Daphnia pulex: one gene and its partner. The protein of the gene in region 2 purifies or fractionates together with the protein of the main gene of each other region. This does not show direct contact. Links are inferred from orthologs where the notes say so. Each region holds a gene or a part of one and is shown on either strand. Other genes may lie near its edges.

Evidence for each region.
Region 1: the proteins of NEDD8-conjugating enzyme Ubc12 (region 2) and COP9 signalosome complex subunit 6-like purify together in Homo sapiens (affinity purification with mass spectrometry; 3 studies listed by BioGRID and IntAct, counting the BioPlex papers as one, with this or other methods). This does not show direct contact. The link is inferred for Daphnia pulex from reciprocal best matches to the Homo sapiens genes UBE2M and COPS6.

What each region holds. Positions count from the first base shown.
Region 1 is NC_060019.1:12,303,400-12,307,064, forward strand, and holds COP9 signalosome complex subunit 6-like, read left to right. Parts: upstream 1-1,771; 5' UTR 1,772-1,859; coding exon 1,860-2,013; intron 2,014-2,073; coding exon 2,074-2,202; intron 2,203-2,262; coding exon 2,263-2,577; intron 2,578-2,643; coding exon 2,644-2,837; intron 2,838-2,904; coding exon 2,905-3,048; 3' UTR 3,049-3,123; downstream 3,124-3,665. Other genes in the region: 60S acidic ribosomal protein P0-like, read left to right, coding at 1-290; probable transcriptional regulatory protein FMG_0893, read right to left, coding at 642-868, 930-1,066, 1,138-1,384, 1,454-1,466, 1,538-1,684. UniProt on the Homo sapiens protein: Component of the COP9 signalosome complex (CSN), a complex involved in various cellular and developmental processes.
Region 2 is NC_060024.1:11,931,544-11,934,863, forward strand, and holds NEDD8-conjugating enzyme Ubc12, read right to left. Parts: upstream 1,901-3,320; 5' UTR 1,726-1,900; coding exon 1,623-1,725; intron 1,546-1,622; coding exon 1,451-1,545; intron 1,381-1,450; coding exon 1,174-1,380; intron 1,061-1,173; coding exon 947-1,060; intron 875-946; coding exon 848-874; 3' UTR 724-847; downstream 1-723. Other genes in the region: importin-7-like, read left to right, coding at 1-131, 206-285; ran GTPase-activating protein 1-like, read left to right, coding at 2,248-2,362, 2,431-2,618, 2,678-2,857, 2,911-3,045, 3,110-3,320.

The DNA of each region.
Region 1 (3,665 bases), on a different chromosome or scaffold from region 2:
TTTCTCTTCGCATTGGTTACCCAACTTTGGCCTCTGCCCCTCACTCGTTGATCAATGGATTCAAGAACTTGTTGGCTGTTGCTGCCGCAACCAACATCGAGTTCAAAGAAGCCATGACGGTTAAGGAGTTCTTGAAGGATCCCAGCAAGTTCGTTGCTGCCGCCGCTGCTGCTGCTCCTGCTGCTTCCGCCGCCCCGGCCGCCGCTGCTGCTGCTGCTCCCAAGAAGGAGGAAAAGAAAGAAGAATCCGAAGAAGAGGATGATGATATGGGTTTCGGTCTCTTCGACTAGACGCTCTTGTCAGATTTTGATCCAGTTCTGTTTACAGTTGATGAAATGTTATTACATGGTGAGCTTTGACTCATGTACCGCGGATACTTTTATGAACTGTAATAAACTGACGATTAACGGAATGATTCGTGCTTAACTTATTCTTTTGATATCCCAGTTTGTCTTGAACGATTCTTTCATTAATAAGGTTCAAGTTTCCTCTGCATTAATTGACATAATTTCTTGAAGCGGGTACGCGGCGTTTGGGTGGATGTAATAAATGAAAAGTAATTCGGACGCATACTCAATTGCACTTTGCATTAATTTATTCAAACCGCAAAATATAAGAATTTACAATATGTATTAAATATCTCATTCAATGTTATCATGAATTTTAACAACATCGGGCTCTTCTTCCAACTTACTATAGAGCTTAGAAACTAATGCTAAGTCTTCTTCGGATTCAATCTGAACTCTATTTCGTGGGATATAGAGCAAGTCAGATTCTATTATGCAATAGCCAAGCTGACTAACAGATCTCTTGACATTCAAAAAATCCCTTGGGCTGCATGTGAAGACAAACTTGCCATCTTCATCAGCTAGAAATTACCACAGAATTTCGGATAATTGCATAATGTATATATTTCACTTGAATGATACCTGTTACATCTTCCGCCCCGACGTTAATAGCATCGTCAAGTACTTGCTCAATAGTTTGGCCAATAGATAATGGTGACACCTTGATTAATCCTTGATGGTTAAACAGATTGTTTGAAACTCCTTCTGCCCATGATGCACTGACAAGAAAGGATTATTATTACTTATAAGTCAATTCATACACTACATTTACCAGTAATTTTAAACTTACTTGAATTTCCTGTTGATTGTATTGATGCCTTGTCTTGCTTTCAAATAACTAGGAGTGAGAACTTCTACCACGAAAAAGGTTCCCACTGGTCCTCTTACTTCCATAACATAAGGTTTTAAATCCTCAGTAGACTGATCAGCATTCTTTAGAATATGTTTCAACTTTTCAGAGGGCACATTATGATGCCTTGCTTGATCTACAAGATGACTAAGTTTTATATTTTGTTTTGGATCTGCCGAGCCATGTTCTGCAACAAAGAATTGTATGTTAATGCTAAACTTTGTTTCAACCAAAAATTAATACTCAGTATACAAACCTTTAATAGCTGCCTGATTGTTGTGATTGAAATTCAAGAAAATGTTATAGTTACACTAATAATGAGAACACAAATTCAAAATACCCTAATTTGACGAAAAATTCTTAGATGTAAAGTTGCTCTTTCAGCATCCTTTGCACCCTTCACATGTTTGATGTTGGCCCATTTACTATGCCCAGCCATGTTTCTTGAGAGCGGAATCAAAATACCCAAACGAATCTTTTGAAACATGATAAATTATTGTTAATATTTTTTGAATTATTATAAAAAGAAAACAAAATGCAGTTCCGGTAAATATCTTTTCGTCTGCTGTTTTAGTCTCGCTACAACGTCGACTGCTACGCTTTCAACTTCTTCTTTTCAAACGCAGATCACTTCCTGATATTCGATTTTCTTGAATAAAACAATGGAGACTGAAGAGAATAATCAGAATGTTAACCATGTAATGGCTTCATCGGGGGCGACAGGAAGTATATCAGTTTTATTGCATCCCTTGGTTGTGATGAATATATCTGAACATTGGACTCGAGTGAGAGCCCAGGAAGGGAAAGCACAGCAAGGTAATGTTTATGTGATGTACATTTTAACTCTTTATTTATTTTGTATACACAATTTCATAGTGATTGGTGCACTCATTGGAAAGCAGAAAGGAAGAAGCCTAGAAATCATGAATTCCTTTGAACTGGTTTTCACTGTTATTGAGAATGTGGTAATTGACCGAGATTACTACAACACAAAAGAGGAGCAATGTATGAAATTTCCCATTCTTTACTTATTAAATGTTCTTCATAATTTCTTTTTATCTTTAGTCAAGCAAGTGTTTAGTGATATGGATTTCCTTGGCTGGTATACCACTGGAGATGCTCCCAATGAATCTGACATTCATGTCCACAAACAAATATGTGAGATTAACGAAAGTCCTGTAATTTTGAAGCTTAATCCTTTTACACGAAATGCTGACCTCCCTGTAACAATGTATGAATCTGTAATTGATCTTGTCAATGGAGAGGCAACTATGCTCTTTGTTGAATTGACTTATACTTTGGCCACAGAAGAGGCAGAAAGAATTGGAGTTGATCATGTTGCTAGAATGGCTTCTGGTGATTCAGCTGAAAGTTCTCAAGGTAATTTTAATTCATTAACATTATCCTTATGAAACTGTCATGGACATACTTTTCTTTTTTAAACAGTGGCGGAACAATTGCAAGCCCAACACAACGCAGTAAAAATGCTTGCCAACCGAGTGCGATTGATATTAGAATACATTCGAGCCATGGAGAGAGGAGAGGTTCCAAAGTCTCACGAAGTCTTACGCGAAGCTAAATCTCTGACCCACAGGTTACCTGTCCTCAACTCTGAAATTTTCCAGGAGGAATATTACACCGTAATTATATCTTAACTCTTTGTTAATTGGGTTGATTTTTCTAATCTTGTTTTCTTTTGTCTTGTAGCAATACAATGATGTCTTGCTGCAAACCTATTTGGCATCCATTACCAAAGCATGTCACGACCTTCACCAGTTTGTCACCAAATTCAACATACTTTGCGACCGTCAAGGCATAATGGGTCGCCGAATGCGTGGTCTCTTTTTCTGAATTGTGAGCATTGTATAACATATTTAAGGAAACATGCTTTGTGCCCTACCTAATACATATTGGTTTTGATCAAGATTCCCATTTCAGCTACATTTCCATCCAAGGTGTGTATTGAAAATGTCAGCTTAATCATGGCAGTGTAATATCAAGTCCATATGGATTATTTTTCTTAAGTTTATTGGCCTCGTAATTTAAGGCGTCCTTTGTTAATACAGAGTGTTAGTATGAGATTAGCAGTCTGTTGGATTTGACAAATCCGGCAAATCCGATACACTGGAGATTAGCTTACATCGAAACTATGGGTCCTAGCCAAGATGTTGGTTATTTAAAGATTTACTCGACTTAACAATATCGTTCGTTGTTTGGCAGTTTTTTTGTAATTTTTAAAATTATTTAATGAATTCGTGATCCAATATAACTTAAATTAATTGTAGTTGAGCTCACAGAAAAAAGGAAATTTTGGCATCTAAAATTATTTGATTCAGATTCCAATCTTTTTTTCCAATTCATTTTGACAACACTGGAAAAATGTGTTATAATATTATGCCAAAATGTGTAGGTACAGATTTACAACGCCGATCATAATCGCAACGACATCTTTATTTAACAGCTTTTCA
Region 2 (3,320 bases):
TAATCCCGGTTGGTACAACGCTTTGACTGGAGCTCTGACAGGTGATCAGCAAAAAGCCCTAAACGACGTAATTGTTCTTGCTGATCAACGACGCGCAGCCGCTGAAAGTAAGCGGATTGAAGAGGCTGGAGGTAAGAATTTCCTAGATTTGTGTTAATGATAATCATAAGACAATTTTTTTTTTCTCTTTTTTTAAATTCTTCAGGCTACAGTTTCAACCAACAAACGGTTCCCGATTCTTTTAATTTCGGAGGAAATGGGTCTACTTCACCATTTAGCAGATGAATGTTTCTTACTAACGTTATCGTATAATTCCTTATCAATATGGTTCTATTTGATAACATCCGTCACTATCACATTTATTGATAGCTGTGCTTTGACCTTTTTTCATCAATGCCTGGTTTTCTTATTGAATCTGTCTGATTAGGTTAAATTGCCCATTTGTTTTGTTTTTTTGGTTGCCTTTTTTTTGGAGGGGAATTTTTGTGTTGTGCATTTAGGCTTTGCTTGGGAAGGTTAATCTAACTGCTGATAATGCGCTCTTTGTAGGAAGTAGGAACACTGAATAGTTCGATACTTTCTATTCTCATCAGTAGCAAAGCCTAGTCATCCATTCCCTTCCTCCTTCTGCTTGAACCGTGTATCGTTCCGTATATCGAGTAAAGAACGGTGATGGATATTCAAGAAAAAATTACAGCTGAATGATGAAACTTAATAAAAAACTAATGATGGAACGCAAAACACGCGGATGTTTATTTTTTCTGCACATGAAAATTTCCATGTTAAAAATCGTTTGAAATCAAAGTTGAAAAGAGCCATTCGTTTTTTGTTGTATCTGATTCGGATGTTATTTCAAGCATCGTTCGAAATAAACCTGTTTTCCCCAATTAGGTTCAAAACAAGATTGTGTTATTTTTAAATATGATTTCAAAGTAATTTAGCTTACCGAACCAACATATCCCCCTCGCATGGATTTTTGGACGTTTGTTTCGAATAATCGCCGGTTTGTTTGAAGTACTTCTGCAGCTTCTTTATTCAATGGATCTTCTGGATTGGGTTCCTTGAAAATCACACAAGAACAGTGAAATAAAATAACCAACATACATCAATTCTAGGGAATTTAGGACTACTAATAACAAGATGGATTTCAATGAACTGAGAAAAAGAGCTCACCAGGAAAAGGTACTGCAGACCATAAATTATGGAGTTGATTGTTAATACTGGCTTCCAGTCTTCTCGTAGAATGTTAAGACACACATTACCTTCAAGGTCAATGTTCGGGTGATACACCTGTGTCTCACACTTCACTTTGGGTGGTTCATGAGGATAACCAGGACCAACTTTGAAACTAAAAGAAAATTTCCCTCCTCTGTAAAAACCCTGTAACAGAATAATTATAAAAAAGTTTTATAAATCAAATAAATATTTTGCATTTCATAATACGTAATACCTCATCTGGAGAAATGATTAATTTGAAGTTCAGCAAGTCATCTTGGTCAGGAAATTCCATTTGACAAGTCTTGGGTAGATTTAACTCATTAATATCTACGAGACATTATAACAAATATTAAAATAAATGGAACACGGGTCACAAGGTCAGAACTTGTTTTTAGTCAATAGACCTTTGGTGATACGCAGCTGGGCAGCGGATGCTTTCTTTTGATTTCCTGCCCGACCTGGAACTTCATCTTTCTTTTGTTGTTTAAGAGAAAAAAGCTTAATCATGATGTCGGCTCCACAAATACGAGATCTACAAATTTGGGAAAACTTAACAGGGGTTTCCTTCTTATATTTACAGAGGAACCAGTCTAGATTTTATTTGGCCCAATACAGAACAGATGGGAAATTTTTGCTGATTGAGAGGACTAAACAGCAGACTGTTGGAGAAACGTCAAAAACAATTCCATATAAATTTTTTTATGCTGCCAGAAATCCAATTGATACAACTGATTTTTTTAAATTAAAAATAATATTAAATACTGTTAGGTGTAAATTTAGTTATGAATAGTAATTAACAATTCATTTTTCTAAAGTCAATAGGCCTACCCTATTTTTGAAATGTGAAAACGCTGCACAAAGAGAAATTTCTGCTTGGGAATTCGAGGGTACGAGGGAGTCGATAAACCGACTGTTAGCGTTCAAATTAGACACGTGAATTTTTGTCTCAATAGAAAATAATACTACACTTACACTTTAGAGTGTCATCTTGGTTGAACCTGATAAAAATCATCCAACAACTTCGAAGAAATGAATGGGGCAGTGACTAAGTTTAATGGAGACTCTGAAGCCAATAATTTGAATGCGAAAGAAGAAATAGTAGATTTTAGCGGGAAAGGACTCAAGTTAGATACGGAAGCCGACGGTTTGTTCTGATTTTATGTTTGCTTTATAAATGGGATTAAAGTTCTTTTTATTGGAATTTTTCAACAGCCCAACCTATTGTTAATGCAATTCAGGCTGCAAAAGGTTTGACAGGTCTCATCCTTGAAGGAAACACTCTTGGTGTTGAAGCCGCCAAGGCTATTGCCAAAGCATTAGAATCCAAACCAACCTTCCAGAGAGCACTGTGGAAAGATGCTTTTACTGGCCGGTTGAAAGATGAAATTCCAAAAGCTTTGGTAATTTGATTGTGGTGCATGTGACGATTAACAGTATTAACCACCGTTTATTTAAATAGAGTTTCTTAGGAGGAGGACTCATTTTGGCTAAAGCTAACTTAATTGAGTTAGATTTGAGTGATAATGCATTAGGTCCAGTTGGTATGGAAGGTCTTGTTCAGTTTTTGAAAAGCCCTGTCTGCTATTCTCTAAAATGTATAAGATTAAACAACAATGGCCTTGGAATTTATGGTGGACGGGTAACTAAAATTCCATTTATTTGTAATCATAATACTGCTACCTTTTACTTTAGATGCTTGCCCAAGCTTTAAATGACTGTCTTAAAGCCAGTAAAGAGGCTGGTTCTCCATTGAGTCTGAAAACCTTCATTGTTGGAAGAAATCGACTTGAAAATGAAGGAGCGATTGCTCTGTCAGAATTTTTCAAGGTCACTGTTTTTTTTATTTTCAGTAATTATTTAATTATTTTAATTACAGCATATTTGTTTTTAGGCAGTTGGAACCTTGGAAGAAGTCCAGATGCCTCAAAATTTTATAAGACATCCTGGTATTCTCGCATTGGCCAGTGCGCTTGTTTATAACCCTGGCCTGAAAATTCTTAACTTTAATGATAACACGTTCACCTGGAGAGGATCACAAGCTGTTGCAGAAGCTCTTCCAAAATGGCAGCAATTGTCGGTTATAAACTTTGGAGACTGTTTGA